Caenorhabditis elegans: one gene and its partner. The protein of the gene in region 1 purifies or fractionates together with the protein of each later gene. This does not show direct contact. Each region holds a gene or a part of one and is shown in the gene's direction. Other genes may lie near its edges.

Region 1 (8,227 bases):
AAAAGTCTTTTTTTCCCTTTCTTCTCTCAATGCCGGTCTATTTTTTTCCTCTCTTTGTCGGACTCGTGAGGGTCCCGACTTTTTTTCATTGTTTTGATTAACTTTGATTAAACAATAAATTCACTTGTGGATCATCCTCAAGCCAATTTAAAAAAAAAAGTTACTTTTATATAAATAAGGTAGAAACAATAATTAATTTCAATTTGAGCTGCCTAAAAATAGTTTTACTAGACCCTTGTTTTAATTATGTTTTGTAGTGATAATATTTTGAATCTGAATTTTTCTTATTAACTTCAGTTTTGATGTGATGTGATAAGTTAATACCTGCCTGTCTAAACATCAGTCTACATATCTTTCCCGCATTTCTGAAAGAGCTGATGTATTTAAAACATTTTCGATTTTTAGTCATTTCCATAAATAAATGCATTGAAAACATTAAAATAATAAAATTAAATTTCGAATTAAGTTTTCGGTAGATCTAATAGTAAGGAGGAAAAATTATTATGTCCCAATTTAAACCTATTCTGCTCAAATTCTTATTTAATTTTTATTTAACTTTTTTTTCAAAAATTAGACGTTTCTCTTACATCTTCACTGTACCATATCATTTTAATCCGTAACTTTCCTACCTGTCAGTTTTTTTTTTAAATTAGACGGCTTATGACTCAGTTGTTGTTCCGTTTAACACAATAAAATTAACTTGCAATACTTCTTAATAAAGTTACAATGCATAATTGTGAATATCTTCCAGCCCACGTTCACAATGCTCAGTAACGGTTGTTATTATAGTCATTAAGTGTAATTTATGTAATCCTATGGGATTCTAGAACATGGCAGATTTACAGTATAATGTTTATTAACCAAACATGTGTTCAGATACATTACTGACAAGTAGGGATTAGAACTCATACTCATGGATGAAGACATCATAGGTCACTCGATATGCTTTTCCAGTTACGCAAGTCAGTTGCATCAGACACAAACTCACTTGCTAAGAGGTTTATGATCGTTTGCCAGCGCGGTCAAGACTGATGATCCGCTGAGTAGATAGTAATTTATTTGGTTGGTAACGAGAGTTGAGGAAATTTTGAATTTGCAAAGCCACTAACATTAAAACATCTGGTAGGTGTCATTTGGTCCCTTTTCTGCTAGTGTAATAACGTTTACAACTGGCTCTTCATTCACAAGTCGACGACTCCTATTTATCACCTATTCTCACTCCATAGCTTTTGAATAGGTTTCAATATTTGTAACTTTTCATATTTTCCAAAGACAAAAAATGTTTATTTGCCAAAGCCCTTGACTTTTCTCGTCTTGTAATACTTGCCGGTAGCTCCTTTTTATGTACACAGGTACGTCGAAAAAGACCATCCAATTAGGTATTAGATATCCTGCAGCACATACCCGAAAAGGCCTGTGGAACAGTAGGGCAGCAGGAACGGTATTTGAATGCCTTTTTCACGGTATGAATAAGGTGTATAGAAAAGGGGGTGGCTCTAATTATATGCGCGTATTATATTTGAATTCCGTAAGAAGACGAGAGGGTGGCAATAACCTTTTTGACGGGAGAAACAATAGGAGATATTTGAACGGGAGAGGTGGAAGATGCACACGGGTGGAAGCTAGGTGCAATAGTAAAGGGTGCCTTCGAGCCTGCCTACACATGCCTATTTTGTTTTTGGACTAAAAAATTAAATAATTAACTGTGGAAGTAAGTTGGAGTTTTTGAATTTTGTATTTTGTATTTTGTATTTCAAGAACAATGTGTTCTACTACAAAGCCGTATTTCATTCCAGGATTCAAAATGAAAATCCAGCCTAACAGCTTCCTCTACATCCCACCCATAACTCATAAGCACCTGCCACCCGTTGGCCCAAATTCCGGAGCACCCATCATCGCGCACATGTTTTGTAATGCTTGTGGTCCGTCTCTCTCTCTGCTTCCACACGGAATATTCAAATATCCTCCCCCTCCCTAGTCCCAATGGAGCTCCTTTACTGTGCTCCTCACTGCGCGCAGACTGGCTGTCAGCTGTCATCTGATGTCTGCGTCTCGCTGATCCTCACGCTATTTTGAGCTTCTTATGATATATTGCATAACTAAGAACGATGGCGGTAAGGAGACAGGAAATGAGGCATTTTGTATTCTTTTCGAGGAGGCTGGCTCTAATTTGAACATGCACAGACGAACGGAACATGCAGAACTGAACATAAGGAGGGTTGTGATCTTCAGCTAATATGTCTGATTTATGAGCTGACACTTCATTCTAGTTACTGATGAACCCGTAGAGACCCGCAAAAAAGGAAAGCTTATTGATTCAAAATTCAGCTTCCCATAATAAATTCCCATACAGCACGGTTCTTTTCAAAACCAGAACCATCTGCTGGTTTTGAACGGAACCGAAGCTGTCTTGGGCACCGCCAAGCACCCCGTCAGAAATGAGAAATTTCGGCGAGAGATTTGGAGAATTAGATAGGCACACACACTCGGGGAGGGGCGCCCACAGCTTTGACCTAGTGGCATTGAAAAATTGCCAGCGAGGGAAGAATCGGTGGCCGATTCGTCTTCTAGTTAGCCATGCCTTTTACCTACCATTTTATGATTTTATTCTATTCGGAACTTGGGGGCTAGGCACCTAAATCCGTTTGACAAGACAAGGGTCAAGTTTGCCGAACATTTCTCTTAGGGGTCCGCGCAATATTTGTTTGACTATAGGTATGCAAGTTTTTTTTCTGATTGCCCAATGTTTGTACAAGCTTTTTAGATAAAAACTGTCTCACTCCAGTTATATCACAAACTTTATTTTAATTTTCAATCTAACTTTTCAAAGTGACTAGAAAGGTCCTGATCCAGACAAGTGGTCCAGAGGTTTGATTATATTATATAAAACTCGAACCATTCGCATAGAGTGAGGTCAAAAATTGTTGCGCAAAAGTTGCGTCGTTATAAAATTGCGCCATCGCCCTCCAAACAGGCGGTCTTTTGAATATGAAGCTCGTCGAGAAACCCGAGTTGCGCTGGGCTGAATGTGCAGATACGCAACATAATCCTCGTGAGGAATCCAGCCGAGCTTTTGCATCATAAAGGAAAACAGCTGCTTTTGTATTCCATATTTCATGAGGGGGTCTTAGATGTTACGTGGAAGAGGAAGCATCTAATTAAAAAATTGAGTATTGTACATAATTATTTCTGGCACCTAGGCGATTTTGAACAAGTTAGAATTTGAAACTGTGAAAATTGGTGTCAAGTGAATGATAAAAATTTGATTGCAATTAAAAATTTGAAATTAAAAATTGAATTTTGGAGTGGTTTAAAAATTGCAGATTAATGCATTTTAATTATTTTTGATGAAGTTACTTTTGAAATGAAATGAAAGAGAAAATGAAATGAAAAAAAAGCTTTTCGCTTGTCCGCCGCTTTTTGTCAACCCGTACCGATTGTAAATCACTCATCATACAATTCCATCTCCAAAACTTAGTGATCCTTGACAAAACTGGTCCGAGTTCTCTCCTCCACCCTTCCATTTCTCGTTCTTTATTTGAAAACCCCCTCTCTATCTTGCACTCAGGTCCCTCTCAAATCCGCTCTCTTCTCTCTTCAATCTTCATGCTCTTTTTCCCCCGTTCTATAAGGGGTCATGATGGTGCAACCGGGTCGGACCACCTCCATCCGACCTCCCGCCTCCCACCACCCGACTCCCTCAAGCATTATTACCTCATACTCGGGGCGGCACAACCACCTTTTTCCCTGTTTTTTTTTGAAACCTTTTTCTGTGTTTTCAAATATTCTTTGAAATTTATAGATATTTTGATTTTAAAAATTTTTTAAAAATTTAATATTTTCAGAAAACTCCAAACACGTGGGCACAGTCATTTAATCTAGAGTATTTATTATGAATAGGCCTTCACAAATATCACAAGATGTAGCACAACCGCTTTCTAATCAGCATGGTGAGTTGAATTTTTATTTTCAATAAGGTGTATTCATTTTAGAATCGTAAAATTGACAGACTACATCTTGATTTTGTTTTCAATTTTATCTAGAACAAATACCAACTAGTATATATAGTTGTAGTTGAACATCTATTGACTTTTTTTTCAAAAATAGATCCAGTGAAGAGGGTGAACATAGAAACAAAGTCGTTTAGGGACCTATATTATTATTGCCAAAATGTTATAGATGGAGTATGGCCAGTGGGGAAAGTGCTAAAAACTACTACTATGGTGTCAAAATGACCGAATATCAGAATAAAACTTTTCAAAAAACTTTTTGAAATTTTTTATTTATTGTCAAAAATGACAATTACCCAGGTTTTTCCACTTATGAATAATAATGGAAATCGTCCAAAAAAAATTTTTTCCTACATTTTTATACTGTAATTTTGTTTTAATTAATTGTATTAAAACATTGTAGGGACTCATATTTTTCAATTTTTTTGGCATTTTGCCAAAACTTTGATCGTAAATTTCGAAAAATCTAAAAATTTTTAGAGTGTTTAATTATGATATTTGGTTGTTTTGGATCATTATAAGTGTATTTAGACAAAATTCTCACAGGCGCTACTCCACCTTTCATCTAGAAAAAAAAAGTTGATTAGCATAGTTGTAGTTGCAGTTGAACTGTTCTTTATTTATTTTTTTTTTTTTGAAAAATCGAACCTTTGAAATAAAAATCATGTGGGTGCAAATTGGAAAAAAACATAGCAAAAAATGTTATTTCGGGTTCTTTTCTCTCTAAATTTTTATTGCCAAAAAACTAATTCATATTTAAATTCAACGCAATTACAGTTTTTATTTCTGTACTTACTATCTGACACGAAAACTTTTGGAACAAATTATTGTACTCAAACAATATCTAATAACCCTAGACCATGTGTATGTCCTCTCTAGGAATTCAAATCATTATTAGCCTCGGTTCTCCTATGGAGGCTGATTGCGCATATTTCACGCAACATATCATTGCGTAGTGCCTGTGAGGGGGTCCTATTGTATTTCGCTATCTCGAGAGAGTACTCTCGTTTGCCCTCCTTATGCTTGGGCACTACTGAACATTTGGTGCCATAAGGGGTTTACTACTATACATACGGAAAAATTGACAAATTTCCTTTCAATTCAAACGATAGCCTAGCAGCAGCAGCAGCGGCTAGCTGCAAGACTCGGCAAATTTTACTAGTAGTAGTTCACGGCCTTGGATGCGGGTGTCAGATAAGCGGAAGTCGCTCACTCCCCTTTGCTGGTATCATCCATCAGGTAGCAGTATAAAGGAGGCTGTAAAACTAAACCCACCGAAAGAAGGTTTTGACCACTATAAAATAAATTGAGCGGGGTCAGGGTCTCTTAATTATATTTGAAAACGTTCGAATTTGATGAGATCTCATGAGAGGAGAGTTTTATTGAAAACGTTTGAAACAGATAAATGTGCAATGAATTTTTTAGAGTTAATAAAAATAGCTGAATTTGAGAAAAAAAAAATTAAATTTGAACTATTTTGAACAATACAAAAATAGTTGTTATTTATGGAAAAGCGCGCCCACAAAACAGCGGCAAACGCACAGAACTGCTTATTTCAACATTATAGTTCAACTTTTTTCATCCAAACTTGATATAGAAATGTAGAAAAAAAATTGATCTATCTGAAAATATTCCTTATGTCTGTTGAAAAACCTTAAAAATCTTCAAATAGTGCCTAAAAGTTCCTAAAACTTTAAACGGAATTTTTTGGCAAACCGCAACTTTTAGGCACTATTTGAGGCCTTTTTGAAGCTTTTCAACAGAAAAAAAATTATTTTTAAACGGAACAATCCTTCTTCTACATTTCTATATCAATTTTCAATAAAAAAAGTTGGATTATCTAAAAAAAAGTCGCAAAAAAGAGAAATTTGGATTTGAGTCTACTGAAACATTACACGAAAATTTCTAAATATATCGAATTTCAAGTACTCCAACCCAGCCAGCAATAAATTCCCTGAACTCTTTTTTTAATGATTTTCCAAATTCTTATGAGAAACTTACGACTTTATTGCTCGCCTCTTCGCAATTTTACAGTTTACGATTTTTATTCACACCACACCACACAAAACATTTGAAACTAGTACCACACCTCTCCTCCGGCACTAATCAAAATTTCCAATCTGACCTCTTTTTGAAAAGGGAGGCCCAAAGTTTGTTCAAGTAAGGTGAGAAAATGGTAATAGACGGGGGGGGGGCAAGCAGATAAGTATCGTTAGGCCTAAGTTGACAAATTGGCATGTCGAGCAACCTGGTACCAAGGTTTTCGATAGGATCTCCCTTTTCGGTGTTCCCTTTTTTACGAATTTTAGTGCCTTCAAATTTCAAATTTATGTTTTGTTTATTTTGTCCCCCACCTAACTTTGTTGCCCTTGATTCTCAAAGATAGCGGCTTCTGCATAATATAAACATATCTGTTCGATGTCTGACACCACCAATCGTACTTTTAATATAAACATTTTTGAATGTAGGTTAAAGTGATGACTGATCATGGAGGAAGAGAAAATCTTATATTACGCTAGACGGGGTCCGATTTCCTCGGGTCAACTTTCTTCGTTACTTTTTGACATTAGCTACTGTAGAATCTGTAGAGTCACACCTGTCCTCTCCTCTCGAGATTTTTTTTTATTTCAATTTCAATTTACAACAAAAACACAAAAAAGACCTCTAGAAAAAATGGCCTCCACCCGTGGCCAGGTGTCCTTCTCTCGGCCGTTTTTTTCTCGCTTCACCCCCTTATGAATACAAGATTCAAATTCCGTTAGACCCGTCGAGAGGGAGGAAACACACACTAATGTATAGGTATTGATGGTCCGAATTTCCTAGCGAGCCTGCCACCTGGCGCACTCTTTTCATAGTGAACACGACAGCCGGCTCTCGTTATGTCGGGTTACGTTTGAATGGGAACACGCGCATTAGGTACCATATATAGAGGCTTCATTGATTAGATTTGAAAAATACCAAAATTGTTTTTATTTATTTTTGGAACGAAAAAAAAAATAAAATTTTAAAAATGAAATGTTTTTTTCTAAAATTTAGCAAGGCAGATTTTATAATTTAATCCAGATTTTTTTTGATTTTTTTTGAGAAACAATTTTATAAAAACGCTTATGAGTTTTTTATAAATCAGCAAAAACTGAACATTTTTAAGTTTTTGATTTTTAGAAGCATATGGTTATGATAGTTTTTTTTTTAATTTCAGCAGTTTGAACTTATAAAATCAATTGATATAAATATTTCAAAAATTGAAACATTTTAAAAATTTTTAAAAATCGACTTCCAAGATCATGAACAGCAACTCATAAATACTGCCACTTAATAAAAAAAATTCGGTTATTTCAAAAGTTATTATACAATAATTTCAATTCCCCCCAAAAACCCCAAGGTCGAAACTCAATTTCCCACATTGCCCTACAGTAACTTATCGCTATCACATTAAAAATTTGAAAATCATATGGGAATATGGCTTTTTCCTCTAGTTTTACACAAAAAGCATCCGCGGGGTGGGTTACGACCGGACGAGTTACGCAACACTGACCGAGGAGGGTTACAAAAAAGTTTTCTTTATGCCAATCTACATATCTCTAGTTATCTTTTCCAATGTTTCTGTGAGATTGTCCAGTACACAGATTTTTTGATACTCTCATTGCGGTTTTTGGGCAATATTTGCTTTTTCCAGCTGTGTTAGATTCGGTGACAAACAATGGTTTTTGACACTGGGAAACACGGGCTCACACAAATCTGAGTTAGGAAAATGTTCTCATATAATTTCTAAAAATGCACTAGAAATTTTAAATAAAACATCATAAAGCCATTAGAAAGAGCAAGAAAATATTTTGGGATTTTTTTTCAAAATTTAATCATTCAAAACATATTTGAAAGTCTAGACACCGCTCATTTCTTGGTTTCTTTGCTTTTTTCGATTTGGTTTTATTTAATTAACGTAGAATTTTGTGCGTATGTTCTATCACTTCCAACATACTTCTGGGAACGCCTTTTTGAACATACTTTCCGGGAATTCCTTCATTTTTGAAAGATTGAAATCTAGTAATCCTTTGCCAGAACCTGACGTAGCACACTTGGATTTTCGTGCGGCGCTCATCATAAAAATCTTAATCTCTTTTCCCAAGGAGCACGTTTGAGTTCATGAGAGAAGAGCCATAAAATTGCACACAATTACTGCTCTTTTTGGATGAAACTGTAATTGTAGCTATTAGGAA
Region 2 (7,025 bases), on another chromosome or scaffold:
AATTTGCCAGTTTAATTTTAAAACAAAAATATTTGACTTCATGTGCTTAAATTGAAGAAATAAAAAAAATTTTAACCAACATATTGTTTACTAGATAGCACATTCATAAAGGAAAACCAGACTGTTTTGTTATAACTGTTTTCTTTGGTGTTAAAATTTTATTGCACATTTTTTTAGAACAAACATATTTTTTTATTACACAGTTTTGAATATATTATATTATAAGTAAGAATTGAAGTTTATTAGAACGTTTTAATTTCAGAAGCCAAATCCACATTGCTGACGATAACTATTTTCTCGAAAGACAACGAGTGAAACGTGATGGTAAATTTATGTCGCATAAACTTTTTATTCCTTTCCTTTTCCCAATTTTCCGTTTTCTCCGTAAAACTATGGTAAATTATGTCTGTGTTCTGGTTGATAAGGAAATCATTAAGCTTTCTTCTCCTTTTGTAACTAAATTTGATCTTTACTCCATCTGATTTCGTTACAGCTGCTAGTACTACGTGCCCAAATGGAATGTCCGTGGCTACTCGTAACGTATTTGACAAGACAGTTGCTAGTGGAAAGGTTTTTTGGAACATAAATCTTCAGTTTTATTTTCATTTATAGACATGGGATTGCACTTTGGAGAGTAAGGCTCAGGCAGTGATCAAAGAGTGTTTGTTGGATAACGGTGGTGTCACTAATGGAACATTGAAACTAAGTTTCCCAGTGACTGGTAGTACAACACCAGAAGCAACTATTCAACAATTTCAAACAGCTCTTCAACTTGCATCCAGCAATTCGAATAGCAAGTCACAAGTACTAACAAAATGTTTATAACCCGTCCAAACTGTTATTTATAGATTACTGAATCGATTGGATGCTCTTATGCGCAGTGTCAAAGTAGACTCGACATTCTTTGTCTCTTCAGGTAAACATATAAAGTCAAAAATGTAGATTTAAATGTGAAACTCAACACTTTGAACACGGGTCTCAGAATTACAAAAACTAATAAAACTAAAAGACTAGTAAACGAAAAACCGTATAACTAGAGAAAGTGCTAGACTGTGATAGATTGTTACAAGTTTCAAAAAATATATGGGTTATGTTAAAAACGTTAGACTGTTTCCAAAAGGCAATATCCAAAGGAATTCCAAAAATCTTACGGTGCGCTCAAAACCCGTAAAAACATTTTTTTTTGTGAAAACTTACTTATATAAAATTTTTTAGGGTTCTCGAGTAGAAAAAATATACACTGAATAAATTTTAGTTTTCGTTTATAAAGGCTTTTATGACGACGAATGGCTAAATTTTTTGGAGAAATACATAGTCTCATAATCTTTTGAATAAAATCGGTGTCGTTTAGCAGTGTAATATTTTTGACCTTATTAGAAATGTATTAAACATGTTATTACAAAAACCTTTAAAAAATTCTGATATACAAAATTTCAATTTTCAGCCACTCGTCCACTGTACCTCCACTTCCATAAATATTGCACCACAAATTTCTTGATTTAACTTTTCGCATGACCTTGATTAAATTAAACTCATATTGGAATCAATTCAAATAAAGAACACTTATCAAATCAAACTTATTTGGGTTCCAGAACACTCTGTCACCTGGAAACCGAAATTGATGATCTGATCGAAATCACGAGTAAAAGCGAAAACAAAACATTTCGATTTCAACTTCCTCTTGACAACCGCATCCCCACAGTCTTTTCTTGACAGCAACCAGACGATTCCTGTCAACGTCGCAACCCCAAATTTGCATGGCATTGACAGATAATAAAATAGTGAGAAGGGGTTTATTGTGGCAGAAGACGTGAATGGGGAAAAAAAGAAACATAACAAACATATAAAGCGCTTCATAAAGGGAGGAAACTACCGTGTGTATTATTATATGCCGACACCAATTTTTAGGTTTCACTTTTGCGGTTTCTCACACTCATGACCTCTGCAACTTCTACTTCAGGTACTGTTTTGAACGAATTAGCATAAAATTCCAGAGAGGAGCGACGCCCTTTCAGAACAAAGGACAAACCTATCAAAACCAATAAATTATTACAGTAACGGTGTACAATTTGATATATAGTATAGTTGTTGTATCAGTGGTAGGCAAGCTTGATTCGTTTGACTTTTGAACTTTCTCCTTATTTTGTTCCAAATTTTCAATTCATTATATCACTGTGTTCAAAACTTTTCGAAACTTTCGCTTTCAGTGTTTTGTGTTTGCCCTTCTATTTCAACTTTTACAGTTTGAAAGTCGCATCAATAATTCGTAGACACTTTCTTTTTCCTCTCTCTTTTTTCTGGAGAGTACGTAATAAACTGGTAACTTTGAGGGGCGGAGCTTAGTCTCGACTTCGGTCTTCATAAATAAATTTCAGCCGCGGCGCCTCCCGCATCGAATTTGTGGATTCAAATACAAGGTACCCGTCATGCTCTTTGCTTGCTGATGACTATTATGAACGTGGTCCTTTCCGCTGTCACTCTTTTTCTTATTTTTCGATATGCGCAGGTATGTTTTCATTGGCTCAATTTTTTAATTGAAATTTTTTAGACTGTGAATATAGAAGGCAGTGGAGGAAATGATGAGCTTCTTGAGCAGAACGTGTGGAACGATGTAGACGACAAGGTTGTAGAAGCACTTGGTGGTCTTGATGATGGTTTGTTGATTTTCAATGCCTTGTTCCTTTTATCTCATTGACCGTGTATGTGTTCGTTTTAGAACTGCTAACCGAACATGTGTGTAACAAATCAACGATCACTCAGCTACAGCAGGAGATCATCTTGACAACCCACAATGAATTACGAAGATCATTGGCTTTCGGAAAGCAAAGAAACAAGAGAGGTCTCATGAACGGTGCGAGAAATATGTATAAACTGGTTAGTTTGTACTTTTGAGATAACATTGAGAATATTAGAACGGGATATTATATTGTTAATTACTTAAGTGTGATTAAATGCTTCAAACAATAGAGTCTTTTTGAAGTTTCAAACTAATTATTGATTCCAATACCAACATTTTCAAAAAAGTTGATCAACTTATTGTTCACAGCCATTGAACATATTAGCAATCTGACATTTGAGATATTCTACTAACCTATCAGATACTTTTCTAAAAACAAACAACCACCTTAATACTAGAAATATCTTTTCAAGTTTAACTTGTCATCAAACATACAATTTTAGGATTGGGATTGTGAACTGGCATCACTTGCAGCCAATTGGTCAACCTCCTGCCCTCAGCACTTTATGCCGCAATCGGTACTTGGCTCCAACGCTCAGCTTTTTAAGCGGTGACTAGTTTTCACATAGTCAAAACATTATTTGTTTGTTTTCAGTTTCTATTTTTATTTTGATGGGCACGACTCTACTGTACATATGCGAAACGCGATGAAGTATTGGTGGCAGCAAGGTGAAGAAAAAGGCAATGAGGATCAGAAAAATAGATTCTATGCCAGACGAAATTATTTTGGATGGGCAAACGTGAGTGTATTTGATATAGACCTATTAATGAAGTTGTGAAAATTTCAGATGGCAAAAGGAAAAACATATCGAGTTGGATGCTCGTATATTATGTGCGGCGACGGTGAATCTGCACTTTTCACTTGTCTTTATAACGAAAAGTGAGTTTATAAGTGATATTTTCTAGCTTCCGGTTTAAAAATAACTTGCGCAATAATACATTAATTTTGAAACACCAGTTTTATTGATTCTAGCAGTGAAAATAGAACATATACATAGTTTTTAGATTAATTTGTCATTTCCAATTCCGCTAGTTTTTACTCTGATTTTAAATATTCTCAACTCATATATTTTCGAGCCCAATGCGAAAAAGAAATGATTTACGAAAATGGAAAACCCTGCTGTGAGGATAAAGACTGTTTCACATATCCAGGATCAAAATGTTTAGTACCTGAAGGATTATGTCAAGCACCTTCTATGGTAAAGGATGATGGAGGAAGTTTCCAATGTGATAACTCCCTTGTGTCAGATGTCACCCGCAATTTCACTTTGGAGCAACACAATTTTTATAGGTATTATACAAAAAAATAGTTTAACTTTTCACGTCAACTGTTTAGATCTCGTCTTGCAAAAGGTTTTGAATGGAATGGAGAAACAAACACTTCCCAGCCAAAGGCTAGTCAAATGATCAAAATGGAGTATGACTGCATGTTGGAACGGTTTGCACAAAACTGGGCAAATAATTGCGTTTTTGCACACTCGGCACATTACGAAAGACCGAATCAGGGTCAGAATCTCTACATGAGTTCTTTCTCAAACCCTGATCCTAGAAGCCTTATACATACGGTAACTGTTCCTTTGATCTTCCATAAATATAATATTATCAATGTTGTCATCATCCATCAAAAAACTGTTTAAGGCCGTCGAGAAGTGGTGGCAGGAATTGGAGGAGTTCGGTACTCCAATTGATAACGTTCTGACACCCGAATTGTGGGATTTGAAAGGGAAAGCGATAGGACATTACACTCAGGTATCAAACCAATGGTCAATTTGATAAGGTAGTAGTAGAGGTTCAGATGGCCTGGGATCGTACTTACCGTCTTGGTTGTGGAATCGCAAACTGTCCGAAGATGTCGTACGTGGTTTGTCACTATGGGCCAGCGTAAGTTTGATTGATAGTTTGAGACGTTTGGGGAAGATTGTTTCAAATTTCAGAGGCAACAGAAAGAACAATAAAATCTATGAAATCGGGGATCCTTGCGAAGTCGATGATGATTGCCCGATTGGAACAGATTGTGAAAAGACAACTTCTTTATGTGTGATCTCAAAATAATTTTATTATTTGTATAAGTGTATAGAAGAAATTAGTGGGTTGAAAGCTTAATAAAGATCTGATAGCGATAATTGATAACAATACAAGTTAGTTCAGAGAAATTGGTAAATGCTAAACAAATGACGATGGTTTATTTTTTGAGACATGGGTCCTCCACGTATTCATGTCGAAGCTCAATAGATCGGCTGAACGATTGACCCTGAAATTAAAGAACTATTGAAAATGAAAGGAAATTGCAAGTATGTACAATAAGAATAAAATTAAAATATTGGGAAAAATATCATGCATAATTTTAAATAGAACTATTAGAAAATAAAAATTTCTTTAAAAGTGCAAAAAGTTTAAAGATGCACTTACGCTATTTGTTTCAAATGTTTTCAATTTTTTTTGTATTTTTAAGCTACTAGTACTTTTTAAATATATAACGGTTTCCTTAAAATGTTTATAAAAGACAACACGCAAAAATTTTCAAAATTTTCAGAACTTGTCGTTTATTTGCCAAGCTTAAGTAACATTTTGGAAGTTATGAAAAAACCCGGACGTAGTGCTATGAAAAATGACAAAGCCCACACCTAAGCGATCACATACCATTGTTTAATTTTTAATCTTTAAAAAAGTATATACAGAATGTAGTCACAGATAAAATATATGCATTACCTGTGTTAAAACTGGATAGTGCACACATGGATCCTTCTTTTCAACCTTTTCAGAAGATGAGACAGTTCGAGTTTTCTCGCCCTCCTCTCTTCTTTTAATTTCCTCCTCTCGTCGTTTCAGGGCTTCTTGACGTTCCTGTTCTCTTCTGTGATATTCCTCCATTCTTCTTTTGTGTTCGTCTTCTTGCTCTCTTCTTCTTTGCTCTTGAAGTTTTGCTTCTTCTTCCCGCTTTCGTTCTTCCTCGGCTCTTCGTTCAGACTCCAATCGACGTTCTGAATTGTGAGTCACTTGAATCAAACATTTTGAGTCTATTTTTAGATGCCTACCTTCTTCTCTACGTTCTAACTCAATTCTTTGTTGCTCTTCTTCTTGACGTCTGATTTCTTCTATGCGTTTCTTTTCTTCTTCAATGCGACGGATTTCTTCCAATCTAAGACTTTCTTCCTCTAGCCTTCTGATTTCATCCAACCTTTTTTGTTCTTCTGAAATTGAGAATAACTGACAAAAAGTCTCTTTATTTTACCTTCAAGTCTAAATCGCTCCTCTTCGATTCTTCTTTCTTCATCTGAAACTTCGTGATGTTCTTGGTGATCAACATGATGCTCTTCATTATCTTTGGTAATGTGTTCAGAACTTGATGCCATCTGCTCATCTCCTTCTGTTGGCTCAACTACAGGCTCTTCTACTTCCACTGGTTCTTCGTCTGTTGGCAATACAGTTTCGTGAACTTTCGTTTCAAAAACAGTCTGAATTTGCTATTTCAATTTCAGTAATTTTGGTCAAGCTAACTTTCTCGTAAAAAGCTTTATACTGCACATAAATTGGAATGCACTGACGGATTCGCTCTTCCATGTTTGTCTCAATGTAGATTCGTTTTTCGTATTTTTGAACAGGAGCGTCTGAAAACAAACAAATACGTTTTTGCAGTTTTCAAATCTTGAATACCTGCTGTAAGAAGTTCGATATCCCCCAAATGATACACATGCTTGGCTTTTGCTCCTTCAGTAATGTACTCTGCTGGGATCATTTTTGAGAAAACTCTCTGAAATCATTCATTAAATGTACATCATTCAATAACTAAACTACCTTTTCATTCAGTCCTTCGTAACCACAGTTGTGTTCAATAAAGACATATGGCTCGATCGCAGTGAACTGAAAATATCACAATTCCATTATTAGGAAAAATAAAATAAAAACCTCTTCGGTTGATCCCTTGACACAAAAAACTCCTCTATGATCTGCAACTACAGACCCAAGAAGATCATCACTGTCGAATACTGGAAAAGTTTTCAAACTTTAAATTAAATTTAAATTAACGAATAAACGTACTTGAGTCTTCATCGTAAAGTTGCACAAATGTACCAGGTTGTCTATGCCCGCGACAATTAACAATTCCTTTTACAGTAACTGCTTGTTGAGAAGAGAATACAATTGGAATAAAAATAGAAAACCACACAAAGCTGAAAATCTTCGCCATCGTGGGAAGTGTTGAAAGCACGAATGGCACTGTTTCAGAATCTTTGCAGGAGTGAGCGTGAGGGAGAAGGGAGGAGCAAGACGATGACTAATTGAAATTTTG

What was found.
Region 2: the proteins of cdc-25.2 (region 1) and vap-2 fractionate together in Caenorhabditis elegans (co-fractionation; one large-scale study listed by BioGRID). This does not show direct contact.

What each region holds. Positions count from the first base shown.
Region 1 is NC_003283.11:1,573,846-1,582,072, forward strand, and holds the start of cdc-25.2 (M-phase inducer phosphatase cdc-25.2), read left to right. Parts: upstream 1-3,845; 5' UTR 3,846-3,892; coding exon 3,893-3,950; intron 3,951-8,227. UniProt on the Caenorhabditis elegans protein: Required for intestinal cell division following the 16E cell stage of embryogenesis. Regulates intestinal cell divisions and binucleations probably by modulating the activity of the cell cycle regulator wee-1.3 and by activating the cdk-1/cyb-1 complex.
Region 2 is NC_003284.9:10,787,446-10,794,470, reverse strand, and holds vap-2 (SCP domain-containing protein), read left to right. Parts: upstream 1-1,935; coding exon 1,936-1,960; intron 1,961-2,375; coding exon 2,376-2,506; intron 2,507-2,548; coding exon 2,549-2,654; intron 2,655-2,716; coding exon 2,717-2,874; intron 2,875-3,180; coding exon 3,181-3,287; intron 3,288-3,332; coding exon 3,333-3,477; intron 3,478-3,525; coding exon 3,526-3,617; intron 3,618-3,812; coding exon 3,813-4,028; intron 4,029-4,073; coding exon 4,074-4,302; intron 4,303-4,375; coding exon 4,376-4,486; intron 4,487-4,532; coding exon 4,533-4,618; intron 4,619-4,671; coding exon 4,672-4,789; downstream 4,790-7,025. Other genes in the region: T05A10.6 (DUF19 domain-containing protein), read left to right, coding at 263-324, 494-570, 613-804, 849-916, 1,445-1,475; ttr-14 (Transthyretin-like family protein), read right to left, coding at 4,920-4,988, 5,447-5,718, 5,773-5,928, 5,970-6,192, 6,236-6,345, 6,392-6,488, 6,533-6,598, 6,644-6,723 and 1 more.